Linked DNA regions of Arabidopsis thaliana. The protein of the gene in region 1 interacts with the protein of each later gene in a pairwise test. Each region holds a gene or a part of one and is shown on either strand. Other genes may lie near its edges.

Region 1 (7,619 bases):
AAGTTTTTGATGAAAACGGTTCTATCTTATATGGGCATATCCCGGAACATTAGTTTGATAAAACAAAAGAAAGTGAAAAGGCAATGATACTTTCTCATTGGTTGTATAGAGAGAAAGGACAGAAAAACACATTAACTGTGTTCTACTTCCTTTGCTTACTCTCACTTTTCACAATTCAATCTTTAGATTTTTTCTATCTGAACCGTTTGGACCAGATATGGCTACTTCTTAGTAATGGTCTCTTTCTCTCACAGTTCACACGTCTGCCATGGCTTCCAGTGATGTTCTTCCTCGATTCTAATAGATTTATTGGTATCCGCATTCATGCGTGAAGGGCAAGGAAGGATCGTGCTATTTGATCATCTGACTCGACCGAATATGTTAACGCATGTTGTGTTTGTATTTTGGTGTTTTGTGTTTATCTTTTTTGCTTGAAGATAGAATCATTTGATTTATCCAATATAGAACATACACTTTCAGCTAAGCCATATATTCATACATAATTTTTGTCGATCGATTACCAATATTAGTTAATGGGGATGTTGAACCAAGCTTTTTATCCGGTCCACCAAAGTCATGTCCGTATGAATTCCTATCTGCCAAAAGTCCATTATCACTATTGGCGGGTTAATTAAGCTCGTGACCAGTGTCGACCCTGAATTTTATAAGACCACATACATGAGGAAAAAATGGGCCGCTACATCAAATTTTGAATAATTTTATTATTCTGTTGGAAAACAAAAGAGATCTCTTAAGCCATACTGAAGTTTCGAACTCGAAGATGATACATCTTCACGAAACTACTAGACAATCGTATATTTTGCAAAAAGACCAAATTTTTGTGATAAGCTCTCTCTGTATAGAGCTAGGATTTTCCGATCGCCGTTCAAACGAATCTATATATCCAATAGGTGTTGATGAATTTGGGAAATACATACTTCATGAACAGCATAAATGCATAATTCAATATTTGGTTCATACAACCTCTATTGTTTAATAATTTCTTTGTTGTTCAAAGTTTCCTCCCCAACTGCAAAATCGCAAAAGAGAACCTTAGTTATCTTGTAACATCCAAATACACAGAATCTTGAAACCAAAATTGATAAACAGACTTTAAGATGAATCCAATTTGACCTAATCCAGATCGAGATCGAGACTACAAAAGCACAACTGAAAATTTTGAAGAACGGTTTGAAATTAGAAGATGATCAAAGTAACCTTTAAGCTCGACCAATAAAAAATAATTACCAATCTTTTATCTCTCTTCCTGGACACGGATCCATACGTAGTTGTCACTAAATCTTCGCTGATCGGGATAAAGAAACAAACCTTCAACTAAGGGTTTGAGACCAAGAAGATCTTCTGAAGTTGCAAATGGATTAGCCGCATGGTTATTGTAAATCACATTAGTCTCATCGCGATTGAGTCAGTGAGTATTAGATGCTTGAAACGCGAGGTTTGTTTCGTGCACCGCCGAAGAATTTCTAATGTTCATACAACCCCAAACGCAGGCGCCACCACATAAATGTATTACTTATCCCACATTTGTATTTAAATCCCAAAAAATTATATTTGAAGTTACTGTCTTTTCTTTGTCTGTTCTAACCTTTCATCTTGCTAGTTATCATTAAAAAACTACTATAAACTTTTAACGCTAAAGATGTATCATGGTGATATTATTAGTTTAATTTTGGAATAAATTTTGGTGAAAGTTAGAATTAGATTGTTAATTTTCACCTCAACTTTATGTTATTTTGACCCCTAATTTTGTCTAGATTTGTTGATATTGCATCTGGACAACTTTTGCTCTATCGGCAAGATTTTGTTGTGGGATATGATTCGTGAAACCTCTTGAGTAAAATAGTGGAACTTATAGAGGAAATGTATAGATAAGAAAATTGAATTATAGAGTAATAATATTTTTTCTTAAATTTTGTGGAGGACTAAATAAATCACTCTAATATATTCAACCAGTTAAATTAGTTGTATTTATTAACATTAAATTTAACAAGTTGATACTGTAAAATTAGTTTATAATCTTGTATTGATCAAATTGTCTCACTTGTATCTTCCTATAATCTCACAGTAAAATTTTATAATTAGTCAAATTTTGATACTAATATTTATGTAAAAAATAATTATTATTTTTATATTTCATTTAATATTTTGATAAAATAATAAATATGCAATGTCCAGCAATACTAATTTATTGAGGTTTTATTGTGTGTCATGGAGTTATTTTTTTCATGGATACATTTCGAAGAAATATAACTATGATAAGCATTACTTCAATTTACACAACTAGTGAGTTTTAAACAGATTTAGGGAATCAGCCAATATGGTTCAAAAACCTTTTTTGTAAAGATTTACATACATAATAAAGTTCAATTTGCAGGAAAAAAGCATTACTTGAAGATAATAAAAATTTTAGCGCTCTAATGAATTCAAACGACCTTCTCTTATACAAAAAAATCATAAAACTCATTTAAAAAACATAGAGTCGAGCTTGTCTTGTAGCGCAAACTACGCTTGAGAACTATGTGGTACCTCTTTAGTTTTTTTTTTTAATCGTGATTTGCTAAATCTATTAACCAATCCAGTCATATTGTTAAAAACTATTGTGGAAGAAAGAGCAAAAGAGAGTAGGTGAAATCATTGGGCCAAAGAGGGATGCTCGATCGGGTTCTCCTTCAATTCCTTAGTTGATTCAAATTTTATTTTACAATCCATTAATAAATTAATTCACATATACCTTAACCCCAACCTTGACAACAAAAAAATCTTAAATTAAAATTTAAAAGATAAATCAACATTTCGTTGAGCTCATAGTATGTGAACTTTTCTAGTCATTATGGTTTGTCCTAAAACAGTATGTGAACTTTTCTAGTCTTTTCATATCGCTGAGAGCTAAGTCATGTTTCTTATTCTTAAAACAATAGTCTCTACTCTCTCATAGTAATGTTGGTCTTGTCATAGAGGTTTTGATGTATAGTTACATGATTATTTGGTTGGGCTTAATTTCATTTTATAACCGTTGCATAAATATCATTCTACTTTTTTTCTGTATTGGCGGTAATTCCTTCTTGAATATATTCCTCTAAAAAAAAATCAACTCGTCATTCTCGAATATTTTTAATTTATTTATATAAGAAAATAATAAAGGATAAAAAGAAGGATTCTGGTGGATAGTTGGAACTTAGCCCATACAATATTACGTTGCATGGTTTACTCTATTTAGTAGTTACGTGAACCGTACGTTAGAGATTGAAATCAAATTGGTTTGGTTCAGAATTGGGTTTTGTTGGAACGATATCGGTTTGCTGTGGTACATAGTCGAAACTAGTTTAGGTGGATGATGAGGTTTCGATATTTCCTTTTTTATTTGAGATTCGATATTACCTTATTCATATGAGATTCAATATTTCCTTATTTATATGAGATTCAATATTTTCTTATTTTTATGAGATTCGTTCCTTATTTATACGAGATTGAGAGATTATGGCTTTCACTTGTCAATTATCTTTCTCCACGCAAAAACAAAAACCGTCGCTGTGGTGAAATAGATAAAATCAGAATGGTGAAAAAAGGAGGTACGAAGAGGAAGATTGCGATTGAGACGATACAGAAGAGCGATTACCTTAGGGTTACTTGCACCAAACGTCGTGAAGGTCTCTTTAGCAAAGCTTCTCAGCTTTGTCTTCTCTCCGATGCACAGATCGCTATCTTAGCGACTCCTCCTACTTCTGAATCCAACATCTCCTTCTACTCTTTCGGTCACTCCTCCGTTGATGCCGTTGTCTCTTCTTTCCTCTCCGGGCAACGTTGTGTTCCTCTTCAGGAGGATACCAAAGAGATGAGAGAGGACGTTGCTATTTGCTTGTCTCGTACAAATCTAGGGTTAGGGTTTTGGTGGAACAACGAGAGCCTCAACAAATCGGAGAATCCTCAAGAGATTAGTGACGCTATCAACTCTATGTTAACGCTCTTGAGTAATCTCAAGGAATTGAGTGGGGAGGAAGCTTTAGTTAACGATCACAAGGACTTGAAGAAGAATGAGAGGAGCGATGTTGTTTTACAACACGGAACTCAATATGAAACCCTAAATCCTAACTCCAACACTACTACAATTTGTTGCGTCCCTGATGAATTACCTGCCAATTCCAACGAGATTGTTGGAATCTCACCAAATCCTTTGATTATGCTAGAAAAGAAGAAATCACAAATTGAAGAAAAGTTTGAGAAGGAATGGCAAGTTTCAGTTACTCGAATTGAAAATGAAGCCACGAGTTCTTATGCAAAACGAAGAAGAAGTATATGACCTGGATTAATTGAATTAGGAAAAAGAGCATTCTTATGCAATAAGGACATTTACAATTATGCTTTAGTTAAATTAGTCTTTCCTAGAAGAATTATGTTAAGCATTACTTTGTTATATGCTCTCGTGTATATGCTCTCTCACGAGAGCAAGAAGCAAAACTTCTATTTATTTCTTTTGAACACAATTTGGAGTTCTTACACCAACTGCAGCCGTAGTTTTTTTTAGTAGAAACTCATATAATTAAAAAAAAAAAAAAAAAAAAAAAAAGAAAAGAAAGAGATGAGAGAGAATCTCTGAAATTTCTAACTTTAGAATCGTTTCTATAATTCTTATACGTTAGTATTTTTGTTTTTTGGATATAAAAGTAAAATATTAATACTTTTTGGTTTTTAGACACTATATAAATCCTATACGTTGGAGGTGCTTTAGTTTCTTACCACAAATCCCAACGTGATGTCGTTTTACAACATAGAACTCAAGAGTCAAGATCAGTGGCGGACCACGTTGGTCTTGGGTGGGGCATGTGCCCTACACTGAATTCTATAAATCCTTTCTCAGTTAAAATTCAGTATAAGCAGCATGGCTCCAATAGAGTGCACCAAGTTTCATTTTCCATATAGTAGTCGATCGTTGGCTCCAACCTTACCAAACAAACAATGAACCAAGAATATATATGTTTTAAACATTGGCACAGAGCGAACTCATCTATCTTTTGACATGAATTCTTTGAGAGATTCAGATTTTTGAACTTGGAGTGACTACAAAGAGATTGCACCATATATACTTGTATAGTTGTATACACCACAACATTAGGGAAGTATCCATTAGTTAGCACCCATATATATACTTGTATAGTTGTATACACCACATCATTTTTGCCTTAATTAATTACTAACAATTCAGAAATACCAAAAATATCTAAGGATAACTCTCACATTCATCGAATTATTTTAAATGAAAAAGTTTCAAGCTTATGATTTTGTCAACAATATATTGCGGTTCGATCATCGATTATACTAACACAGACCATACTTAGTGTATATTCGATATGCTTATAATTAGTTGCAAACATGAAAATTAGATTTTATGTTTATCATCAACATAATACCAAATTTGAATTTGGACGGTAAACTACTACGACAATAATAACCCAACCAATAGACTATAAAGTTACAGATTAGTTAAATACATAAACTCGATTAACTAACACGGAGAATCACATATTTTCATGTCCTAAATTTTCTCTCAATCACACTTCACCACTACAATAATATTTCAGTCCTGTCTACCAAAAAAATAATAATATTTCAGTCCTCGCTCAACACTCATTATCTCTAGTAGCTATGTTTATAGTTTTGGACTGGAAGAAACTACTCGTCTCGGCCACCGAACATTCCCATCAGGTCTTTACCTGAACCCATCTGCTTCATGAGACTCTGCAGACCACTCATGCCGCCAATCTGCTTTAGCATCTGAGCCGGTAGGACCTTACTCAATTGCTGCGAGTTCTTGTTTTTTGAGAGTGCGCTCATATTTCCTTTCTCTAGGTTCTTAAGCCCTTTCACCTTCCCCCACATAGTTGTTAACCTTTTGTACTCTTCCAACATCTCCATCACTTCTCTTACAATCCTCCCTGACCCTCTTGCTATCCGCATTATCCTTGACTCGTTAAACACCTTTGGATTTGAGCTGTCCAGTTCTGCACAACCACCAATCAGTTATTGCTCAAAACTACTATTACTTTTACAGAGAAACTTTCTCCAAAGAAGATATTGCTCTCACCTTCATTAGTCATAGAGTCCATCATTGTCATGTATCGCTTTATCTTCGCCTGGCTTTCTTTCTCATGTCCCTCTGGCATCATTTCAGCACGCATTCCAGGTAGCATGGAGAAAACCTACAAACCAACACCGTATTTTCATATTTTTGTCTTATCAGCATCACGTTGTGCTCTTTAGCTTACTAATATTTGACCAGAGATTCTGACCTCCTTAAGTGGGCCCATGTTCAGCATGTTCTGGAACTGGTCGTACATAATTCTCAATGTAAATTTACCATGAGAGAGCATTTCCAGAAGTTCAGGCTGTTGATCTTTAGGTACCACCTCTTGTAGTTTATTCACGAATCCAGACATATCACCATTTCCTATTGTACATATACATTATCAAGATTCTGAGTCAACTCCTCACAATCAGTCAATGCCATGATATTTACCTAAGAGACGGCTGACAAACGGTTTAGCATCAAAAACTTCAAACTCATCCATATGCTCTCCTGTTCCAATGAATATGACAGGACTTTTTGTAGCTGCAACACTAACAAGATGGAAAATAGATGAGATCCACTTGCCCAATTGGAAAAGCTTGCATGATTTTCATATCACCATTTCGAGTACATGACAACTCAGCAGCTACAAGATACTTACGCGCTAAGAGTCCCACCACCCTTGGCATGACCATCCATCTTAGTAATAATTACAGCTCCCACAGCAACAGTTTGTTTAAATGCTCGAGCTTGTTCAAACGCAGTTTGACCAATACTGCTATCCATAACAAATATAACAAGATCTGGTTTCTGTAAAGTGAAAAGGCAGCAATTAGCGCCTCCAACATAATTAAGGAACAAGAACAGAAGACTTTAAGATAAGAGAGTAAAACCGTTGCTTCAGAAATTTGACGCATTTCTTCAAAGAGAGAAGCTTGTTGTTTATGGCGACCACTGGTGTCAACAATAATAAGATCACAATTTTCTTTCTTGAACCTATCAACTCCCTCAACAGCAATTTTCACAGGATCGGATCCTGTGTAACTGCAAAGAATCACAAATCAGTATTAGCACATTCTGCTATCACAGTATGCCCTGGCTAATGGTTTCAATCCATAAGAGTTTTTTATTTTATATATATTTCGTCATGTTATTGACATTGAAGTAAAACCAAATTGACAAATTGCAAAATAGAAACAGAAGATAACACAAGACCTCAAAATATCCATTTATGTATACTGTACAAATCTATGAAAAAGACGTGAGATCCCTTGTTACAGTGGCACTGTAAAATGAATACCGAAAAAAGAGCGCAAAGAAAAAACTGGCAAAAGGGATTTAAAGGTAACTGGAGAGGGATATATTCAGTAACCGTAGTGGCGTAGTCCTCGAGTGTAAACCAAACAATTTCATAAATGGTGTACCATGGCTCTACCGTCAAAAATAAAATTACATCACTTTTGTACGTGAGCTAATATATTTGGAAATGCAAGCACCAAAGGTCTTCCAAGCACGCAGGAAGAAAGCTAATAACTAA
Region 2 (8,820 bases), on another chromosome or scaffold:
ATATTACACTCTCTTTCTGCATCACCACTCACACCATATGCAACTATAACCAACTCATCACATTCAAATGTATTAATTGGATTTTGGTGCGAGATTAAAAATTGAAAGGAAACAAAATATGATAATGGGATAAAATCTTGAACGGAAACTCAAACTAATCCTCATAAGGTATAACAAAATAACAATTTAAGCTAAGCACAACAACATACAAGTTCGACCTTTTCCTTTGATGATCCAGCCCAACAGTTCTCTTATATCTCAAACCATTCGACCATTTGAGCCAAACTAGCTAAACCTGCAGGAATCAAAACCAACAAAGATTCAGATTAGCTAAACCGGTTTCATCCCTTTGTCACATGACTCACATCCGTCTTCTACATAACGATTTCTAATGATGTGAGCTCTTAACTTGCTCCAGCAAGATCATCAACTTTGGAGCACCTTCAATGATTTAGTTAACATGTTAGATAAATTAAATATTCTTGTTTCAATATATATCAACTTTAGTGTAAAAGCCTTAACATTCTCTTGAATATTTAATTTATTTCTCCTTATTTCGATTTAATGACAAATGTGAATTAATTTTTGTGATATTTTTGTTCGAAATTAGTTTTCAGTTAATAACATACATGTGAGCATGGGACACACATGATTTAACAAAAGGGAATGACGAAATGATATATCAAAATATTAGTATGGGAACAAATTACGAGGTGAAACTTCACACTCAACTCAATTAAAACTAGAATAAAGAAATGGAAAAAGTGAAAGAATGAGAGGTCAAATGTGGTTAATCATTATGTGGTATTAGTTAATCCATCAATTGTGTACCCAAAAGCATGATTAAGCATAGAATTTAGAGAAACAAAACATCATTATTAATGTTGAAACACAAAGATCCCATCAACAGACAAATGATAAGTACAGTGCATGTAGGGTAACAACTTTTATGTACATGTTATATACTTATATTATATAATAAGAAAACGATTAAAGTGTCATTGCTCCAGCCTCTATTTGTAAATCATATTATATCAGTATGCTTAATTCCAATAATTAAGTCCATAACTAAAATATATACACATATATGTATGTTAAATGGTTGAATATATACATATATTTTCATAAACAAATATTGCTAATTAATTCAGTTATTTGTGTACATAATCCAACTATCACCTTTTTAGCTGGAAGTGGATATTCCAACATGTCAGTCTGTCACTCCCACATTCATACTCTCTATTCTTTTTAGCTATTTCAATATCTACGGTTAAATATTAATGGCTATATAGCCTTACCCTTCATTTTAGTTTTTTTTTGGTATTCGCATAACCATCGAATACTCAAACTTACTATGTAAGATGGTCTGAATAACTATTTCCGATTTAAGATGAATAGCTAGATTGAAATATACATGCACTAATTGGACATGCACTAAAGGCAGAGGTGAATTAAATGATGAAATGAAGATGAAGTGTCACACTTGTGCAAAAAGCATGTCCCCTGCTCTTCTCCGCTTGTTTCAATTTCTTTGACTTTCATCACGTTTTTGTCACTTAAATACACCAAAAAATATAGTACAATTAAACATCGAAAATCGTCCAAAAAGAAGAAAAAAAATCATGGAAAGTTCTTTCGTTAATGTTACACACATTATCTTGATTAGGTGACACCAGATATTAGAATAAAAATGATAGATTATGAAAAGAAAAAAAAAATTGATGTATTTTTAGGATACATCGAAAGGAATGAACATACCAAAAACATGGGAAAAAATAGATAACTAATTAACATGGTAGAATGTAGATGACGTAGATCATGAAACGAGTGTGTGATATATTAATGAAAATTATTTTAATATACGTAGCTATATTAGAAAATAATTTACATTTATTTTCTTCTAAACAAATCTATACTTTATATTTACATACATTAGTAAAGACCAAAACACATGGAATTCAAATTCTGCAATAAGTAATTGCAAGAAAACACAAAGATTAATCCCCCACTAAACCCGTTTATTTACGTTAGTATTTTTCCGTTTTATACATTACACATGACATGACATTACACGTCAAAAGAAATATGTCTTACGTCAGAACTTACGTATGATCAAACTCGATTTAAACATAGAAACATCTGTTTACTAAATTATACTAATTTCATAAAGACACTTTAATGCATGAACTTCTTTGTTTAAATAACAATTTCCCCCTTTTGGGGGCTATGTCTCGTCGAGTCCTACCACCATTATAAATTATCTCATCGTTTGCTTTCTTTTTTTTAAGTTGTAACCATTTCCACTCGTAATCATACAACTTCTCTACTCTTCTAGAGCAAAAACCCAAAAATATATTGCTATCTTCGTTAATGGCTGATAATAAGGTCAATCTTTCGATTAATGGACAATCAAAAGTGCCTCCAGGTTTCAGATTCCATCCCACCGAAGAAGAACTTCTCCATTACTATCTCCGTAAGAAAGTTAACTCTCAAAAGATCGATCTTGATGTCATTCGTGAAGTTGATCTAAACAAGCTTGAGCCTTGGGATATTCAAGGTTAAACCCTAAATATGAAAAAAAACTCTTTCATTTCTACGAACTCTCTATTTCTTTGTTCTTTATTTTTGAACCATTTTGGTATGCAAATGCAGAGGAATGTAGAATCGGTTCAACGCCACAAAACGACTGGTACTTCTTCAGCCACAAGGACAAGAAGTATCCAACCGGGACCAGGACGAACCGGGCAACAGTCGCTGGATTCTGGAAAGCTACCGGACGTGACAAAATCATCTGCAGTTGTGTCCGGAGAATTGGACTGAGGAAGACACTCGTGTTCTACAAAGGAAGAGCTCCTCACGGTCAGAAATCCGACTGGATCATGCATGAGTATCGCCTCGACGATACTCCAATGTCTAATGTAAGTATATATAGCAATCATCAATTTGCAGTTTAGGTTAGAATAAACAAATTACAAACTTATAGTCAAAGAATTAGCTAGATTCGTTTCATGCTATAAAAGGTTTTGGTTCATTTAGTACGCACTAGAGCCTTCTTTTAGCATCTGCAATTAAAGTAATCGAACATGATTCTCTGAGTTACAATAAGATAATTTCTTATGAAATTAACACATCATATATACATTTATATAAAAAGATTTTTTCACAAGGCTTAAAATAGTTTAACACGGCTCTACAAACAATACGTAGTTAACTAGTTATGGTTGCATATCCAAAAGAAAAACCAACATAAAAGATTTTTTTTTTTGTTTCAAAATAAAAGTTGCATTTTTACATCATCAAGATTTAATCATCTCTTATTGCATTTCATAAGATCGATTTGTGTTCCATTATCAGGGCTATGCTGATGTTGTTACAGAAGATCCAATGAGCTATAACGAAGAAGGTTGGGTGGTATGTCGAGTGTTCAGGAAGAAGAACTATCAAAAGATTGACGATTGTCCTAAAATCACTCTATCTTCTTTACCTGATGACACGGAGGAAGAGAAGGGGCCCACCTTTCACAACACTCAAAACGTTACCGGTTTAGACCATGTTCTTCTCTACATGGACCGTACCGGTTCTAACATTTGCATGCCCGAGAGCCAAACAACGACTCAACATCAAGATGATGTCTTATTCATGCAACTCCCAAGTCTTGAGACACCTAAATCCGAGAGCCCGGTCGACCAAAGTTTCCTGACTCCAAGCAAACTCGATTTCTCTCCCGTTCAAGAGAAGATAACCGAAAGACCGGTTTGCAGCAACTGGGCTAGTCTTGACCGGCTCGTAGCTTGGCAATTGAACAATGGTCATCATAATCCGTGTCATCGTAAGAGTTTTGATGAAGAAGAAGAAAATGGTGATACTATGATGCAGCGATGGGATCTTCATTGGAATAATGATGATAATGTTGATCTTTGGAGTAGTTTCACTGAGTCTTCTTCGTCTTTAGACCCACTTCTTCATTTATCTGTATGATTATCTATACATACACATACACAAAATATAAAATAAAGTTTGTTAAAAAATGTCTCATGTTCTATTGATAGTACGTCTTGATTTTGGGGTTTAACATTTGTTAATGGTGGAGGGTAATTTTTTTATAATATTTATAATCATAAAATTTACGAAGTTAAAGAATGATATTATATACAAAACTTGAATAACGACTCTTTCAATTGCTTACTAAGCTATTTTAGAAGTCATTACATTTAGTTCTTTATCTTTGACTATTAAAGCTAAAAGATGTCCAAAAAAAAAAAAAGCTAAATGGTAGAACTTTTCACATCCCTCATCTTTCATTCTACATTTCTTACATGCCCACTATTGAATTTGAATCCAAATTATGATACGAAGATTGCCATATTTGTACAACCACGAGAATATATGTTTATCGCTTAAATCTTTTGTATTTGCGAATCATAAAGCCCATAGGCCATAGTGAGAGTTAATATTCGGTAAATTTGTACTTTGGTTCAAACGCACATGGTGAATCCGTATTTTATAAAAAACTTTCTAAATTAATAATGAGTTAATGACAGAACTATGATGTATATGTTAATTTATAGTAATATTATTTTTTCTATAAATTTCAAATCTCAAATTTTTTAATTGTATTATCATTTAATATTTTATCTTAAAACTAATTTGAAAAATATGAGTAGAGAAAATTGATCTTAAAAAAGTTTACTGGTTTGGATATTATAAATTTTATAGTTCCAACTTGAACATTTTGATATTTAAAATAAAAATCTTTTGATGGTGAATTAGAAAGTCTATACTCTATAGAATTCACTTATGCAAAAGATATATATATATATATATATATATTAAATTAAAAATAAAAATCTTTTGATGGTGAATTAGAAAGATATATATAGTCTATTGAAATGAAATGATACATATTCGAAATTAAAATTAAAGATTCTTAGATTAAAATAAAAAACTGAAAGAAGTTTTGGCTATTTTGATGACGAAGTTATAGACGATACTAGTTAATACTATATTTTGAAAACACAACAAAAATAGAGATGAAATCTAACGTCAACTTTTATTTATTTATTAAACAGCTAAAACTAATACATTAATATATTTTGAAAAATTATTACTATTTTATACATCTGAATTTTTTTATTTTACAATATTCCTATTCCAGGAATGTTTTATAATATTTCTTAATTTTGTGAATATTAATTTATATGTTTTACTGTATAAAAAACTAGCATATAACACGGCTATTTTTATTAGTTTATCTGGATAAAGTATCATTGTCATTTTGATGAAGGACTTGTATAATGAATGAAGTGATACTTATTTTGACTTTCATCTAAGTAAAGTGTACCAAATAATAACGCAGCGTAATAAGATTCTCGCTTCGCTATAATTACTTCACCTTTTGGTGCAACTATGTTATTTTTTCATTTTCGTTGGAAAATCCTCATGTCGTTTTTCTTGTGCAAATACGACAATCCAATTACCACTTATCAAATTACGTAACCAATAGTTTTTTTTTGTTTTTCTTTTAATTTTCTGACTAATATTACTAAAAAAATAGTGATGTTATCGAGAAAAGTGTAGAAGTAAGCATATTGGAACACACAAAAATGTCTGAATATAGTTAATTATACGGATCAAGAATCTCGTTAAACGCAAGATAATGGATCCAACTTGGCTCGATTAATGAATTGGAACAATGTCACTAATGAAAGAGGCTACAAGACACGATTCAGTTAAATGCAGTATGACAGTGCATTGTCTTCAAATTGTATATACGGAGACTTGCATTGGGAGATTGAACATTAGCTTGATACTTCAGCATGTCGATGGAAAACATAGCCATCAACATTTTAGCAATCGAAGTCCGAGTGAGCTGATTAAATTTGAAAAGGGCATGGGACATTATATTGTAGGTGGTAAAGCAACCATATACTTCAACCTTAAGTTGTTTCTTATTTTTGCTTGATAAAAATAACAAACCATATATACATCATTTCCCTTCCAATACACTAACAAAGTAACAAAAATAATTAAGATGCTTAAAAAATAAATATTATTACAGGAATTATAACATTCTTATGAATTTTAATTCCTTCTTTTTTGAAAGAGAAATTTGTCTAAAAGATTTGAAAGAGAAACCTAAAAATTTCCATTCAAGATAATTTAAGGGAAACAAAAATTATGAACAAAATTTTACCTAAATTAATATTAATCTATTTTTAAATATTTGTTTTAAATTTCTCAAATATTTTCAGAAAATATATTATTTTCCCAACTAACTTGTAATTTTCAGTAACTACAAATTAAGGAACCCGTTTATACATTCACTGTGAAAAATGTCGTTGAATTTCCCTACAATTACTATTTTTTACAACAAAATAAATTGAGGGTCATAATTCTGTCTATGATCCGAAATTATTGATTCTGGAAAATAATTTGAAACAAACAGATGGTAAGTCATAATCTCACAAACTTTTGTCTATATTGACTCTTTTTTCCAAAATAAAAGAGTTGTTAAATAGTTTTCAAACGTTTTGACAAAAAAATAAAATAATAGTTTTCAAACTTTCTGATTAGGACTAACATTAGCCTATCTATGAAAGCAATCTCAAATTTGGGTTATGCCGACAGATATTCATCACACAGCCTCTTGACAAATATTCGACCACATATCTTCGACTTTATACATTATAACCTGTATAAATTAACATTGTCAGACACAAACAATTTTATGCTCTAATTTGATAATTGTTGTTAAAACCTATGTTTTATTGCCTTTTAAAAATATTTGAAAAATAAAATTGTTGGCTAGTGATTTACATTTGAAATGTGTATTTTTTTTCTATGGGTATAACCGTATAGCATAGCCTACAGGGAAGAGATCGATTCTTTTCAAGAGTCTGATTTTTTTTTTTTTTTTACTTCGTACGTTGACCACCCATAAACATCTTTAACGGCAAAAAAATAATACACGGAATCTATGGGCCATGAGGATTAATTTGGGTTTTGGCCTAAGATTCAAAATTGTTACCAGAAAAAAATATATTAAGTAGTCATAATTTACAACTTACACGGACTAAATAAATTATATCAAACAAAAACCATAAAATTGACATAATGTATATTAATCACTAATGTTCTTTTACTTCAAATAAATGATGTAAAGATTTTTAAAGGCATATCAAATCACTTAGCTATCGCTTTTTTTATCCCTTACAGAAATGACATTAGTATCCACAAGTGATGAATAATTGAAATCACTTTTGTATGTTCATCCTTGGTCAATTTCAAGCAGACTTGTGCGTTCGGAACAAGGTTTCTATGCAAAAGGCTCAAAATGGAGTTCAATACTTCAATTAGTCTCCTGATCTGGTTTTCACATCAATACTCAACTAATTCGTCTTGATTTTGTAGGAGCTAAAATTAGCAAACATTACGTAAAGGCAATTGAAATCAAAATCACAAACATTAAGGAAAGAACATGAGATGAGACGAGTTGATGAACTCTTCCCTTAACCTTTTAAATCACCCGTAGTGTGACAGTTTCTGTGTGATTTAAGGATCTCAGGATACAACCTCTATAAACTGATTTTGCATCACTCGAAACTCAACTCTAACGAAAATAGTTACTACGATACTCTCGAGACTTACTTTTAACAGAAAGAGATTGTTGGAGCTTTTGCTATTGCTATTTGTGTGTAACTATCAAAGACTTCACTGTGTCTCTCCAAGACTTGAAGCATGACCTATTTATATAGGCTTGAAATACTTAGGTTTTTAATTTGTTTCTTCACAAAATCAAGCAGAAATCTAGGAGGTGGATGACGTGAAGGAATAACCACTCTCTCCATGAATCCTATTCTCAAGGAATCGAGAAATATAAGAGACCAAATCTTTCGGTGACTCGTTTTCTCCTTTCAAATCGGACCCATCATATACCGGAGATTTATCGTGAGCAGGCCAAACCATTATGGTCCATTTCTTATTCATACAACTTGATAATACTAAACCTAATTGGGTTTTAGTAAAAAATCAGCCCAACAGATTTATCCTAGGAGGTTAACCTTGGTTTTTAAACTAAAATGGACATTTTGTATGTAAAAACATCGGGTGGATTGATTTACTAACTAATATTTTTTATAAGAAAAATATTTTATATATAGTCAAAATAAAATATTATTAGTATCTATTGAATGAATATCCACCAATGTTAAGTAAGAAACAAATCTTAAGTCAAAATAAAATATTGTTAGTATATATATGGAAGATCCATATCAATGATAAGAAAAATGAATGTCAACCTTGTTTTTTGGTTACATTCAAAGAACCTAATTGTACTATAAATTGAGCTTTAATTAAAATCTAGAAAATCACAGTTTCATTTTCTTTTAATATACTTTTATACTTGATACAACGAGCAAAGACAAAATTAAATGGGTATTACAAAGACTTCAGTGACTTTTTTATTCTTATTAATATTGGCTGCTTTTGTATCCAATTACAACGTATTGGCTTCAGGTATGTTTCTAGTTATATATATGTTGTTATATTCTAAGTACGTTTCATCATTTGAAAGCAAGAACATTGATATGTAATTATGTATGTCTGTATAAATATAAATCATGCATATATATATGATTATATATGGTTTTCATGTGGTGACTTGGTGGACATGCAGAGATCAAACCTACAGGGAGAATTGATGATCAATGCAAGCAGATGTGTTCGGCAACGTACGGGGACGGTAAATGTGCCTCGGACTGTAGGAAGGCTGGTTTCTCATCCGGACGTTGTCTAACTTCTTCTCCTTTCGGAAATAAATGT
Region 3 (7,578 bases), about 10 Mb from region 1:
ACGATGAAGGTGCACAAGCTGAACTTTGGGACCTTTCGCGTGTTTTCTTGGAGACTCTCATTAAAGAAACAGGTTGTGAGGTAAGCTAAAACAGTTTGTATAATACCTTTACATGAAACATTTTATCAGTCGATGACTCGTAGCGCTTGGAAATGTTGTTGCCAGAGAGTTAAAGCTGTATTTCCAGACGCTGGAGCTGCTGCATTGCTAAAATACCGGTGGAAAGATGCAACGTTCGGATTTGCTAGGTAAGTTGGCTTACATCTTGAGAGCTTAATAGTTTTTCGTTCGAAAGAGTCTGTAGAAATATGCAGTCATGTTCTTTGTTGTGATGCAGCTTAAGTGACCGGAAACCTGTGGAGAAAGAAGATGAGATCATTGTCATGGTTGTTCCTGATTACCAAATGCTGGAATATGTTGAGAAAATTGCTAATGGGCTTGCTGATGACCCGGTAACTAAATCTGTCAAATCTTTAATTTCAACTTTGCTAAGAACCTTTAGTACTAACATTAAGAAGGCATTTCTTTGTGTTCTTTCAAGCCAAGGCCTCTCATTATGTGGAACCCTCGTCTTATAAGCGAGGAAGTCGGGGTTGGGTTTAACGTGAGAAAACTAAGGCGTTACTTCCTAAGGTAAAAGGCAAAATCCTTAATGAGACTTGACAAGGTTTTTGACGTAACATCAATAACTGTTCTTTTCATTTTGGCTCTTCTAGTTCATTCACTACGGTTTACTCTATGAGACCTCTGGCTGCTGGTGCTGTTTTCAGGTGTTATCCTGGGTAAGACTCAGACTTGGTTTTTCTTATTTGATTAAGTCCATGTAGATACGGTTTAACGAGTACAAGCTGATCATTTTCTATCCTCATTTATTTTTCTAGTAAGTGGAAAGTCTTCTATGATAACAAAGACAGACCAGGCCGATACCTACTCGCTAAAGAACTCATTGGTCGACCTGATGCAGAGGATCTTGAGGTCAATTGAGTACTAGATTTAATTGAGTTGAAAAATTCTTATATCATGAAAAAAATTGGGTGCAAATCCTAGTTCCATAGCTTGTTTTGCTGCAATTTCATTGATGAAATGTTTTCTTTTTGCAGATAATATATGGGGGAGTAGAAGAGAAATCAGAAGAAGGGCCATCTTTAATGAGTCAAGCTGCTGGAATTTTCTCATCCATTAACAGGTTCATGAAATCAATGTGAAGATGATTTCTTCTCTGCAGTGTAATACTATTCACATGTCCTGGTATTAGAAATGTAACCAAAGGGTATTACTGTATATCTTTCTATGCTATTACATCATGAAGAGTATAATACGTACTGGTAAAGAGTTCTGTTCCTTCTATACTTCAGTGAACCACTCTGGTCGAGAAAATTAATCCGAATCAACCCAAAAGTCAGTTTTGTACCTAAACTGCAGTCTGCAGATACTATGTACTAGTTCTATCATCATAACATGAAAATATCGAAGTTTTGCAACTTGTTCTGTTTGCGATTGACACTTTGTCTATCCTAAGCTGGAAATGCTACCTAGAGTTCTTGAGAGCCTTCAGAATCTAAAATGACTCGTCATAGTGGTGGTGATGACTTGCACGACCCAAGAGTTTAACATAAGAAACGTTTTGTTTCTTTCTTATGTGTTATACATGTTTTTATGGTGTGTGTGTGTTTTTATAACAGGATTTGGATATGACCACAGAAAGGGAGGAACTAAAACTTTCATCATCCGTGCCTCTGTTTGATGTCATCACTCAGAGTTTGCAGATATAAAGAAGCAGCTTCCGTGAAGTTCAAAGCTAAAATGAAAGTGGCAAGGTACACTGTAGAGAACTCAGTGGTTATCAGGAAATTAACTTGTTCTGCATTTGAGTATTTCCATGCTAGAACAAGGGTATCTACAAGGTTTCATAAATCATTGGTTTGCCAATTATAAGAGAGATGACAAATGGAGACTAGATTATTTCATCTAGCTTTGAACTAATATTGTTTTGGATTCTAGAAAACGCAAAACTCGAACTGAACTAAAAGCAAATGTCTTTTTTTCTAGACCTACCATCAAAACGCAACACACAAATCCAGAAACACCAACACACAACATCAAGCGTATGTGTAAAAACAAAGAATTTGGTTCTGCAATGAAATCCAAAACAGAGCCTTTGATGGGGAAAAATTCAATCTTTGAATCGAAAAGAGTTGTTCTTCCAAAAACAAATTAAGCTTCAGTAAGCATCAACATCACAGAGTTTTACATAAAAATCTCATAAAGAAACATATACTACTACTACCTACTCTAGTTCTGTTTGACTCAACAGTTTACATATATTTTTGGTTTTGTATTAAGTATTAACTATATAAAATTCATGAATAATGAATCAGGAAAAAAGATGAATACATTGCTTCTCTATACATTATTACCTATCAATGGTTTTCTCCTTGTTAGTCTTCACAGTAGATTCACCTAATATGATTCACATGAGCAAATGGATCCGTATATTTTTTTGAAGCAGCTTTCTTGGTGGTCTTAGGTGGTTCTCCAAAAACATTCCAAAGCCTGAGAGTCTCGTCACCGGCTGCAGAAGCCACGGTACAACCATCCGGACTCTGTGCCATAAAAAGAACTCTTGATGTATGACCATTGAGTTCAGCCATTTTCACCATAGATGGGTACTTCCAAAGTGTAAGCTGGTTCTGTGTAAACCCATGTGAGCTAAGCAACTCTCTTTCACTTTTGCTCCATAACAATGAACAAACTTGAGAGCCAGTTTCTACTGAATTCAAGCAAGCCCCAGTGTGTGTATTCCAGAACTTAATCTTCCCATCACCTACACCACCACCAGTTGCAAGCAAACTCGCTTGGAAAGGGCACCAAGCAAGAGCTCTCACTGCAGCTGTATGTTCCTCAAACCTATGCAGCCATTGCCTAGTTGGGTTTGAGGAAGCGACAGAACGATGATCCCAAATGTGTACTACATTGTCGTTACCACCACTTGCTAGTTTTTTTCCAGATTCTGACCACTTAAGACCACAAACCTCTTCTGTGTGACCCAAGTAAGTTTCAACAATAGATGATCTGATCCTCACATCATTGTTGACGATCTTTCCATCCATTCCTCCAGTTGTTAGAATGTGATTGTTCCATGCCAATGATCCTACTCTTGACTCGTGACCACCTCTCAGTGTTCTCACTTGACGATTGGAAACACAATCCCAAAGCTGGACTTCACTGTTGTCAAGACCAATTGCCAGATCAAGACCATCTTGCGTCCAGTTAATACTTGTGACAGGTCCCTCCTCTTCATCAATGGTCACAAGCTTATATGTAGAACCACTAGACGCATCCCACAAGTAAACAGTGTCTCCCAAAGCAATGGCTAAGACATTAGAACTGCCCCAATCCAACAAGTTAAGGTAGAAGTCATCCGCAATTCCAGGTGCATCCAAGACTCTCTCACTATTCTGAGGAATGTATCTACGAGGCTTTACGGATATAGGTTGTTGGTGAGGAGGATCAGAGTGATTACTAGAAAGCAGAGCTTTAGGTTTGTTTCTGAAAGCGAGAATCCGAGTGCGATTCTGATTCATAGCCTCAGCCAATTGCGTCATGTAGGCTTTTCTTGATGCTGAAGTTACCTCATCGACATTACGTTTTCTTCCTTGGGTAAGAGCGTAGTTAGCAAAGTCGAAATCCATGGCCGATCTATTCGGTATGAATCTGTCGAAGTTTTCCTTGGAAAGTTTCCGACGGAGAAAGTGTTCTACAAGTGGACACGAAGCTTGTGCCTTTAAATGTGAAGAAGTGTTCATCATAACTGTGATTAGAAGAAGACTAAACGAAATATGACAAAGAGACAAATAAAACCTGCGAAGAAGGAAACGTAAAGTAGATTCAAAGCAGAGAGACAGAGAGCGAATAGCGAATAGTGAAGGAAGATTGTGGCAATTTTAGGGTTTTTTGCTTTCTTTAATTCATTACATAGAAATTGTCAATTACGTACAACGGTTAGATATTAGTAAAATGGAAATCGGATCTAATTCAGATTTCCGTTAAAAATAAATAAAAGATTTTCATTACAGTTACTGAAGAAAAATGAAATAAATATGGAAATCGAATTTAACAAATTCAATATAAACCCTAATCCCAATTCTCTGACTTTATTTTCTCTTTGCAAGAAACTAAAGCTTCTTTCTTTCACCGTGTAAACAACAACAATGGATTCTTCAATGTCGACGAAGAAGAAAACCAAATTGTCTGTGAGAAACCAAACTTGTTTCAAGAAATCGTCTCTTTCTTCTTCTTCTACTGCAAAAAAGACCACGAATTTGTCTATGAGAGAAGAGACCATGTTTAAGAAAGCCTTGGAGCTTTCAACTCTGTGCGACATCGAAGTCTGTGTCATATATTATGGTCGTGACGGAGAACTCATCAAGACATGGCCGGAAGATCAATCCAAGGTTCGAGACATGGCTGAGAGGTTTAGCAAACTACACGAGAGAGAGCGACGCAAGAAAAGAACAAACCTTTCTCTGTTTCTACGTAAAAAGATCCTCGACGACAATAAATTGTCGGAGAAAGTCTTAGAGATGAAGGATTCGCTAGAAAGTGGTCTACGGGTATTACAAGATAAGCTTCTGTTACTCCAACCCGAGAACCAGACCGAGCTAGGTCAGAGCCGTGCGGTTTCTTCCACAACGAATCCATTGTCTTCTCCTGAGGATCATCATCATCAACAATGGACAGAACCATTGGTGACTGGTGTGTCAAACACAGAGCAAGACCTATCGACGTCACCATTGAGTAACCATCAGAGCAAATATTCAGTCTTTGTCTATAACCATGACAGCGGAAGCTTCTATCAAGTCCCTGACTCGATCTGTTTCTAGTTTAGATTATGAGTTTTAATTGTCTGATTAAGAGTTTGTGTTGAATTGTATGTTTTTCCTAAGTATTATCATTATGAATGCTATTCTCAATTCAATTTTTGTCTGAGTCAATTAGTTGGCTTTGTTGGATTTAGAAGCCAATGGTGAATTTCCAGATTACAATGCCTTGTGATTTTCCGATTAAAATTCTTCCAAGCCCTAACAATGGAGATTTGTTCAAGAGATCTCCTAACTCTCCTCTATGGTTTGTTACACACACATCAATACATGCATAACTTGTGCAATAACCTTCTATCTATTTATATACAACTCACTAGACTCTCAAGCTAGTGGTTAAACAATCTGTTTCTTCTTGCTCTGTTTTCACGTGCCTTCTCTGCTTCTCTTTGCTTATTCACGAGCCTCAACGAATCCGTTTGAGCTACCACACGTGCCTCCTAGCTTATCATAGGTCTTTTGATTCATGTTTGTACAAGCTTAAGTAAAGTGTATCCGGAGGATTGACATATACAATAGACATTGAATGTTAGATATCCATAACTTATGCAGATAATGCAGATAATACAACTAATTGAGCTTGCCTCTGTGAAATCTTTGGTTTAATTTGGTGAGTGGGTTCAATCGAGGAAATATTTTTTGAAAGAAAAGCGATTATGCAATGAAATCGAAAACTGTAGTGCAAGACAAGAGGATATGATATGCAAATTACATGACACTTTGATATTCAGATGCTCTTGTTGCAACTTCCGACAGAAGGTGTTGTTAAAACTAGTGTTTTGTCCAATGGTTTGATTCCCATGGCTTGATTTAGACGCCAATGCATTCCCATTTTACAATGCCTTAGTGAGTTTTGTTGTTAGGTTACTAGATTCCTCTAGGGATTCATGCTTGTACCAGCTCAGATCAAGCAATGAGAGTGACCAGTCTTGTGTCATGCTGTAGTAAAATTGTGGATAAGCGTAAACTTAACTACTTAAGCATCTTGGATCTAAGTGTCATGTGAAGGGTTATTTTTAGAGGGGATTCCCCTAAGTCTTTATGTTAGACACTTGAGTACTTAAGAGTCCATCATGTTTTGATGTGTGACTTCGGGTCAGTTTTTTTTACTTGTCTCAAGTTCATGCATTTAGAAAATAATGTATATGCCAGTGATGAAGCTATACAGTTGCTTATCTCGTTTTGCCCGGTTCTTGAAGATTTGAGCATTGCAAGAAGGCTAGATGATAATCTTGATGAGGATTTACAAGTGCACTCATTCTCAGACGACATTCACCAAACTCAGTGTAGACGACATTCAAATGGAAGCTGGTGCTCTTGTTTTTCAGCATCAAGGCAGAGTTTTTTATTGATGCCCCTATCCTAAAATATCTGAATTTCAAAGATGTTATATAACAGAGAATAAAATTAATTAAAAGAAATTTTCACATAAGTGGATGAAACAAGAATTGCCCCTCATGGTTTGTCAAAGTGAGATATGGTTTTCATCGTTTGTCTTTTCAGTTGCTTTCAGACCAAAATATCCTTAATGGGAGCAACCAAACCACAAAACACTTGATTTCGGTTTAATTTATGTGGTTCAGTTTTGAATAAAAAAAAAAAAAAAAAACTGAAACAAAGAAATCGAAGAAGAAGAAAAAGAGAAAGAGACGGAGAAATTCGAGAGAGAAGTAGAAAGAAGTTCAAAATTCATTATCCACTCCTTCATATTTTGACATCTCTCTATTGAACTCCAAAATTGAGGAACAAATTTCTTATTTTCAGAGATAAACAAAATGCAAAAAAAAAGCTCATAGATTCAAACACTTTAGCTTTTTAAACTAAAGATACTCTAGGTTTACAAGATTTATTTATAAATAATAATCAAAACGTAAAAAAATGAGATTTTGAGAAAACTGATAAAGACGGCCGCAAAATTAGGTTTGCAGAAAAGGATACACAGGTTGAAGATGACTGGAAAATTACAATTATACCCTTCATCGAATTTTTTCTGTGTACGTATATTTAATTTACAGTGTACGTACACAAAATTATTTATTAGAACGTATATGGGACGATTTCTAATAACTCAAACTATTTTATTACGTATTCTTATATCTCAATAATCTCAATACATACATAATAATTAAATAAAAATAGATGGTGAAATAATGTACGTACATTTTTGTTGGTAAATTAATGTATGTACATGTGTAATAATATACGTACATCTTTGTTTGTACATTAAATTATTAAGAAAAATTTATTGATACAATATTAAACCAATATTGGCAGTGGCTGAGATAAGACATTGTTTGTTGTATGATTTTTCTGTTCTTAAAAATACTTCCCAATCTATAGTGTACGTACATTGGTACAAACCATGTTGACACATACTTCTTGGAGTCACAACTGATGTACGGTCACCCGAGTGAGAAATGTTATCTCCGTCAGGTACACGCTGACTTGTGTACGTACACTCTGCCAACAGACGACTGAATTCCCCTGGTGTGAGAATGACGTTCTCCTCAACATTCCCTATTCCATATTCTTCTACAATTACATCGTTCCACTTGTTGTAATCATAATCTTCGCCACTACTTTCACTACCATCAATAGTAGGATCGAGGGTACTTCCCCCCATAGATCCATCGTCACCCTGATAATCATCATACCCATCACCATCTTCGTTATCCCCATCCTTTTCATCCTCATCTGT
Region 4 (8,514 bases), 1.5 Mb from region 1:
GTTTTGTGTGGATTATCTTTGATATGATATGATTGTTTGATATATGACAGTTTAGAATCATTTAAGTATACAAGCATCCATTAACTATGAATAGCAATTGATTAGAGTTAAAGAGAGAGTTCCGATCTTCCTGACTATCTGCGTGGATCCAACAAACCACATATGTAGGATTTAGATGCGGTCGGTTTTCCTTTAAAGTACTGCTTGCTATGTTTCGAAGTGTTATGTCAAATTTTTCTTTGCAAAGAATCAGCAATTCGTTCATTTTATTTTGTTGCTACGTTTTAAACTATAAAGAATGTTATTTTCATGCATTGACTTGAAAGACTTTATTTCTGGTGAAACATGCAATTATTGGGGTTAAAAAATCGTTAAAGAACATACACACAAAATAAAGAAATAACGTGATTCCTTGTATTTGAAGATTTCATATCGAAAGCGATGTGTCAAAGTATCATATTCAACACCGATGAGAGAAAAAAAACAAATTTTCATAATGTGGAAAGTTTCAATATAATTTTATTGACCAAGATGTCAAATTTTATATAAAAACAAAAAAATTCAAACTCGTAAGTTTCTATTTAACAAAACTTTAATAATGAACATGAAAGAATTAAACAAATAGAAAGATTGCAAAAATCTGAACATTATAACTTTCAATTTTGGCTCGCCAGAACAATATGGCTTAAATAGAAGAAAACATAACGATTAAAAATAATAAAGTTAAAAGGAAAAATTTGGAAAAAAGGAGAAAAAGAGAAGGGGACGTGTGAGGATGCGTTACACCTATGTATCTATTTTATGTGGTCAAAGCTATCTTACTCTTTAGATTTTGGGTCCCACGTGCATGCTTCATATTTTGCCTACGTCCCTTCTTTTAATTTTCTTTACCTAATGTTGTCCTACAAAGTTTTAGTCTGTTTAATTCTCGTTTTTACGTTTAGGGAAAAGGAATTACTATCATGATCAAAATTATAGAGCTTTTTCGGTTTTACCATTAAAAATAAAACAACTATCTGAACTAGTTCTACAACTAATGTTATTGACTTAAACATGTCCAAAAAAAAATTATGTGAACTAGGCAAAAATATACTTCAGAATATTTAACGAGTACAGATGTTATATATTTCTTCCGTATTATTATAAATGATGTTTTTTTTTTTTTTTTTTTTTGCTCTGTTCTGAATGATGTACTGTATTAGCTAAATTTCTAATGTGTTTACTAATTAGTCTTATATAGTCATTTAAAATGTATATGATATACCACATGTATATAACAAGTACATTTTGGAAGATAAGATGGACATTTTAGAAATTTTGATTGCCACATCGATCATATTCCTTCAAAATGTTTGATACCATATGGAATTCCCTCCTTTAAAGACTTGAAAACTATCTCACTTCTTTTTCCTAATAATCACTGTTATATATGCACCATTTATCAATTAGTCCCAAGTAAAGATGTTTGAGATCTTGCACAATGTTGGTATAGAGTTTACTAGAAGTTTAGAATCATGAAAAGTTTCTTAATCGATACTAAACACATCATCAAACATATTTTTACTGTCTCTAATTCATAGACGTTTTTCATCGAAATTGAATCGTAAGATTGATGATGACACAGTGGCAACACCATTATTAGATTAATAGTTTTTGTGGTAGACTATTCATTCAATAATTCATTAGTTGATATAAATTTTCTTAATGGTTCCAATTTGTGATAAATTAGCAAAATGTTCTGAATTCTACTTTGTCACTAAAATTCGTATCAGAAAAACCGGTTTGACCGTCCGTTGTTCAGGAACTTAGGATTGACTTCTAGTAGTCTCTGTTTGCTTTCGGCTAGTTTCGAGCTTGGTGGACTTTCATCTTCAAATCTATCACTTTCTCTAATTCTTAGGTCTTAATCATAGAATAACTGAATTTTCCCCAAATAAAGGAGCAAGAAAAATGCAATTTCAATGCATGTAGAGTTTTCTTTTCATCAAAAATAAAATAAGGGAGTTTAAATCCGTACCATCTATATCACATAAAACTCATAGCGACTTTTAACAACTCAAGATATATTTTTTCTTAAAAAAAAGCAAGCAAGTTAGTAATTAATAGAATAAATTTGGTAAAGCCTACTCAACTTTCGAAACCATAATATGAAAATCTTTAAATTTATTTTTGGATTTTAAACGGCTTTCAACAAATTGATCAAGATGAGTTCAAAGACAGTTTATCAAAACAGATTAGCTGCAAGAGATAGTCTTTTGCAGAATGCTTCATAAAGTTTGTAACGGATTAGCAGCAAGAGATAGTCTTTTGCAGATTGCTTCATAAAGTTTGTAACAGGTTGGTATGAAGATGTTATTATGTTCTAAATCATGCATCTATGTTAATTTAGACCAGTTTTGTTTTTGGCTTAACTGTCTTTAACTCTTTAATATATGTACATGCATAGAGTTTGTGTTTTGTGTTTAAGTTATATGTATGTAAACTAGCTTTTAATTTGACACATTTTCTCTATCAAATGTACATGGTTTATGTTTATTGAGCAACAAAAAGTCTTTTACATCTTCAAGTTATTTAAATGTTCCTATTTAATATATCAGAAATGTAACATCACATATTTCCGAGAAAAAAACGATTCTAAATTACACTATTTATGAACTAGAGAGAGTAAAATTTAAAATTAAAATGGCTACTTAATTAAAATACAATCATAATTTTTTTTATTTAAAAAGCAAGTATATCATATCTTGGTTTACAATAACATAATTTCAAATCTCATTGCCATCCAAACAGAAAAATAATTTTTTTACTAGTCCAAAAAATTAGGAACAGATGTAGTAAGCTTTGATATCCCTAAACCCAAGTAAAAACCCCAACAAAAAGATATTAGTAGAAGATTGTTTTTACAACAAATCAAAAATATAGTTTTCAAAAAAAAAAAAAAAAAAAGATACTTGAGAAGCGCGTGGAAAGTACGAATAGCAAGCAGTGGTGGAAGAGCGAGTGAGGGAACAAAGAGTACAGAAAAAAGCCTAGAGACGTACCACACCACCGAATTATAAATGGCGGCAAATCCTAGGTTGCTCGCCACGTTACTTCTAGCTGTAAAATGGTAACATTTCAATTTAACTACCATATTTATATTGATTCAAAGATATTTTCGTCCTAAAATCATTTTAATATCTAAAATTAAATACATAACTTCCTCAGTCACATATTCATCTTCCCTAAATTAACATTATTCGATTATCTAACATGGAAAAATGTATATTGTATAATACAACGTATTCAACTTTGACAAAATCGCATTTATTTTATTTCCCTAACAGTTAAAAAATCGCATTTATTTTATTACCCTCAACATTCGTACGTGACAAGTTGAAAAATTGCATTCAAATAGACGAAGTTACCCTCAACAATCATCATTAATTACTTAATGTCGGTCAAAGCTAGTGGAGTGATAAAAAATTTGTTGAGAAGTAGTAAGTAAATTTGTTTTTATTATTAGTATCAAATAAACTAAAAAGGTAAAAAAAAATTTAAAAAAACCGGGACCGGGTATCTTGGGGGTCACGTGACATGAATCGCGAAATTCGAGACTAGAAGCCACGCGCTGACTCAGCACATACAGGAAGGAGCCAAATATCTAATATCGCCACGTGTCACCATGCGACTTGCGCTCATGAATGCGGCGTCCCGTATTTTTAAACAACTCTCTTATACCCGAAACTACCCTTGGAGTTTTGTAGTTAATTACGGAAAAATGCCACTGATGGAGGAGCGGAAAGAAACAGCTTCGACAAGGAAAGAAATCAAATGATATTAAATATTATATATTATATAGTTTTCGAATTTATTGTTTACTTTTGTAAAAATGAATAAAATAATTATGGCTAAAACCCCGAAGAGATCCTATAAATTAGCATTTCAAGAGTGAGCTAGAGAAGGTCTCCACTTGCGAATCGCTAAAAAAAATCACTGTTTCATAACACGTTTTTCTCTCTCACCCACCAAAAAAAAATCTTTTGTTCTTGTTACCAAAAAATCTCGTGATAAATCTCTTCAAACTTTGTTTTATTTTCTTCTTGATTCTCTCGAAATCTCTCTCAACAAACCCAGAAACTTTCCTTGATTCGCAAGCTTTTCTTCCTTTTATATTCTTCATTTTGATGCGAATATAGAGAGAGTCCATAAAAGAAACAGTAATGGACGAATATATTGATTTCCGACCATTGAAGTACACAGAGCACAAGACTTCAATGACTAAATACACCAAAAAGTCATCGGAAAAACTTTCCGGTGGTAAGTCATTGAAAAAGGTTAGTATTTGTTATACTGATCCTGACGCAACAGATTCATCAAGTGACGAAGACGAAGAAGATTTCTTGTTTCCTCGCCGGAGAGTCAAAAGATTCGTTAACGAGATCACTGTTGAGCCTAGCTGTAACAACGTCGTCACCGGAGTTTCGATGAAAGATAGAAAGAGACTCTCTTCTTCCTCCGATGAAACTCAATCTCCGGCGTCGAGTCGTCAACGTCCTAATAACAAAGTTTCAGTCTCCGGTCAGATAAAGAAGTTCCGTGGTGTTAGACAACGGCCATGGGGGAAATGGGCGGCGGAGATTAGAGATCCGGAGCAACGTCGGAGGATTTGGCTCGGGACTTTTGAGACGGCGGAGGAAGCTGCCGTGGTTTATGATAACGCCGCTATAAGACTCCGTGGACCGGACGCTTTAACTAATTTCTCCATACCGCCTCAAGAAGAGGAAGAAGAAGAAGAACCGGAACCGGTTATTGAGGAGAAACCGGTTATTATGACGACGCCAACACCAACAACATCGAGTTCTGAATCAACTGAAGAAGATTTACAACATCTCTCATCTCCTACTTCGGTTCTCAATCACCGGTCAGAAGAGATTCAACAAGTACAACAACCGTTTAAATCAGCTAAACCCGAACCGGGGGTTTCAAATGCACCATGGTGGCATACCGGGTTTAATACCGGTTTAGGTGAATCAGACGATTCATTTCCTTTGGATACTCCGTTTCTTGACAACTATTTCAATGAATCACCACCAGAGATGTCAATATTTGACCAACCAATGGATCAAATTTTCTGTGAAAATGATGATATCTTCAATGATATGTTGTTCTTGGGTGGTGAAACTATGAACATTGAAGATGAGTTAACAAGTTCTAGTATCAAAGATATGGGTTCAACGTTTAGTGATTTTGATGATTCATTGATATCAGATCTATTAGTTGCTTAATATGATGATGAGAGTGAAGAAGAAACCATCAAGCAAATATCTATGGTGTGACTGAAAAATTTTGGTGTTACTTTTTTTTCTTTCATAAGTTCATGAGCTTTTTTGTTTCTTTTTTAATAATTTATTTAGTTTTGTCAGGAGCTTGTAAAACAGTTTTGGAGAAATAGTGGAAAAATAGTTTAATTATTCTGTATTCTTTATTTATTTAAGTAATTGCGTTATTAGTTGCACGAACGTGTTTAATTTTCAAAGCATTTGGCATTTATTTATTTTTTGTTAATTAATTATTTAATTTTAGAAAAGCCAAAGTGGCATTCTCTTTGTAAAGTCATACTATGAGGCGCAAATTACGGTCGTGGCCAGTGAACTGAGAGGTTTTGGCCTTTGGGTTTGGTCTGGTTGAGAAGAGGTGTTTTGTCTTGTAATAGTCATGTTAATCTTAAATTTTGTCAGTAATATAAACTTCAAAATAAAATGTAAATTAATTAATTGTACAGAACACAAAATTATATCATTTATTATTCCGAAAATTACTATCAAATCCTAAATTCGAACATTATCAGAAATTCATGTTTATGATGGAAATGTTTTGGAAAGAGTTCCAAACACATCACAAACTTTTTGTAACCATTTTCGAATATCATTCAAGAACTCTTTCTAAAGACAAGTGTGTGGCAATGTTCTAGAATTCGAACATGTTGGTGGTAGGTGTTTTTTTTAGATGGATTTTTGGGATCCATATGACATTTTATTCATGATGGTCGTTTTTGTAAGTGAAACTTGAGTGTGTTAGATCTTAATAAACTAAATAAGAACATTCTGACCACTGGGAAGAAAATTAAACTTTGTTTTCAGGTTTTCAAAGGCTAATGCATTTTGTCATTCGTGAGACACACACCTCGTTCGGTGAAAAATATATATAGTTTCGCAAGTTTTTTTGTCTAATTTAATTGTTGATCGTTAGGGATGCGATAAATATATATTGCTTTCGGAAAATTTACTTTGACTAAAATTAGTTTTACCTAACAACTGATGGATAAATTTAAAATGAAAACCTTAACACAAAAGTAAAAGAATAATGAAAAATAAACCTTGGCAGGGAGGAATAATAATGAAACCTTTGCAGATTTGTTTTCGTTTCTTTAAACTTTTGCTAAGCTTTTATTAAAAGCTCTTGTAATTGTTTTTGTATCGAATGTAACTATATAGATTTCATTTGAATCCAAGTCACCGACTCATCGCCTTGTTTTACTAAACGTCTTTCAACTAAGGGAAATATGATCTATAACTTATTTTCTTCTTTAAAAGCTTTCTTTAAAAAAAAATATTCTCTGTTATACAAAGATTGCATGATAGCTTTTGCTATCGTTCGATTGTGATTCTATATCACTGAAATTAATTAAATTAATTAATCTAAAATTCAATATGTTTCCATATTTATGGTAAATTGATTCACAGGGTAGTATCTTACCTAGTTGTAAGTTCGTTGTGAGAAGGTCCTTAAAAGGAAGAAGTGGACGTACATACAAAAAAACACAGATATCAATCATTAAATTGTCCTATTGGTAATTTGAGAGAAAACTATTCTTGGTAAGAGATGTTATTGGTGTGCAGAGTACGGATCAAATACGATTAGGATTTAAGAAATTTATAAAGTAAATATATAAAGATGGTTCGTTCTCCAACTCAAATCAAAATTGTCCAGGTGAGAAAATCTCTCTCAAAATTAAATCTATATTCTTCATCAATCTGCATTTTTCCAACAATATAAATTGTAAACCATTGAAGCATCACGAATAACATCAAATCCGTCTTACATAAACACATTTATTATTTGAGTTTTTTTTTTTTTTTTTTCATTTAAACTTTAAGACTGTAGTCGAAGACTATTTTGTAATCTGTTGGTAGACCAGAATGATGTTAGGCTCATAGACTAGCTATATCTAACAGCATTTCTAAAATTAGTTGCAACCAACATAGCATTATGTCTTACTGTAGAAAAACACAAAGAATATACTGTATCAATTATCAACGTAACTGATATTTGTAACTCTCTTTTGTCTCACGTCCATCTTCCAATCTCTTTTGGTCTGAACTATCTTCGACTAAGATTTTGGACGTCGCTTTTTTCTTCATACGAGTTGTGTTATTGCCTTTTTGCCGGTTGGTATATTTCTTAATACTAATAATTAATAACTAATGGAAAGTATAGAATTCATTTGAAAATTCGGTCAATGTCGGAGAAAAGTAGGTGACAAATGACATAATTCAAACAAATAATTTACGTGGAAATAAGTTAAGCACACACATAGACCTTAAATTCCATATCACATTTAATACGATCGACATTTGTATTTTATTTTTCTCATACAAGATACGTATAGTCCTATATATAATCTAATACTGATAAATGTGGCCTTCGCTTTTGTGACGTGAAAGGACATTGTCCCAAGAGGGTTTCAATAAGGTTACCACTTGGTCTGTTATGGCCGAGACAGAGACATACGTACGCCTCATTTGGTTTCCAATAATAGTTATCATATTGTTCTTTTATTTGATGACATAAACATATAGAAGTATATCTTTGCTGCGTTTATTTTATTCAAAAACATAATTACACTATTTTTTAGTTTTATTTTATATCTCTTTAGGACAAATATATTCGAGTTCACCGCTCCATCCGTAAAGCTTTTATTTCGAATGATCACACCATCATTACTCACATGAAATGTATATTATATAGATTTACATAATCTGCCGTTGATTATAAAATCTATTGTCCCTTTTTTCTGTTCTGTTGGTCGTGTGTTAGATTAGATAGATAACACATTATTAACATGGTGATCGTAAATCTCGATATTAAATAGTTTGTATTTTGGCCATAAAATTAAGTTAGCAAGAAGAATTTATAACTTTTATTAAAATACATTCCATTTTATTCTTAAGTCATCAACTAATTAGTGATTACCATGATACTTGGGTAAGAATTAGTTCAAGTATTCATTTCTTATATATATATATTTTTTTTATATGCATTGTTCATACAAAACTTTCAAAACTCTTGACCGATTTGGTATGTCATATACTTGTTCGGTTCAGTTCTTGGTCCATGGATTTTCCGAAAAATTTGTAAGTTTTTCTACTAATGTGTTGAACATTTTTATGATATATTTTCTTAATATTTCACTTATCATATATATAACTTGGATTAAATATTCTAAAAGGACTGTGAGAAACAAAAAAAAAA

The links.
Region 2: the proteins of AGL83 (region 1) and NAC012 interact in a two-hybrid assay, tested with the Arabidopsis thaliana proteins (one large-scale study listed by BioGRID).
Region 3: the proteins of AGL83 (region 1) and AGL89 interact in a two-hybrid assay, tested with the Arabidopsis thaliana proteins (one large-scale study listed by BioGRID).
Region 4: the proteins of AGL83 (region 1) and CRF3 interact in a two-hybrid assay, tested with the Arabidopsis thaliana proteins (one large-scale study listed by BioGRID).

Annotation. Positions count from the first base shown.
Region 1 is NC_003076.8:20,071,868-20,079,486, forward strand, and holds AGL83 (AGAMOUS-like 83), read left to right. Parts: upstream 1-3,460; coding exon 3,461-4,318; downstream 4,319-7,619. Other genes in the region: AT5G49500 (Signal recognition particle, SRP54 subunit protein), read right to left, coding at 5,689-6,017, 6,101-6,215, 6,306-6,463, 6,533-6,633, 6,744-6,892, 6,976-7,126.
Region 2 is NC_003070.9:11,860,501-11,869,320, reverse strand, and holds NAC012 (NAC domain containing protein 12), read left to right. Parts: upstream 1-2,166; 5' UTR 2,167-2,370; coding exon 2,371-2,557; intron 2,558-2,652; coding exon 2,653-2,918; intron 2,919-3,354; coding exon 3,355-3,978; 3' UTR 3,979-4,092; downstream 4,093-8,820. Other genes in the region: AT1G32763 (Cysteine-rich protein), read left to right, coding at 8,430-8,514, 8,675-8,820. UniProt on the Arabidopsis thaliana protein: Transcriptional activator of genes involved in biosynthesis of secondary walls. Together with NST1, required for the secondary cell wall thickening and lignification of sclerenchymatous fibers and secondary xylem vessels (tracheary elements).
Region 3 is NC_003076.8:9,732,440-9,740,017, forward strand, and holds AGL89 (AGAMOUS-like 89), read left to right. Parts: upstream 1-4,085; 5' UTR 4,086-4,211; coding exon 4,212-4,883; downstream 4,884-7,578. Other genes in the region: AT5G27560 (DUF1995 domain protein, putative (DUF1995)), read left to right, coding at 1-80, 166-248, 338-452, 542-633, 717-782, 882-975, 1,101-1,205; CDC20.5 (cell division cycle 20.2, cofactor of APC complex-like protein), read right to left, coding at 2,457-3,809.
Region 4 is NC_003076.8:21,614,714-21,623,227, reverse strand, and holds CRF3 (cytokinin response factor 3), read left to right. Parts: upstream 1-3,946; 5' UTR 3,947-4,202; coding exon 4,203-5,267; 3' UTR 5,268-5,514; downstream 5,515-8,514.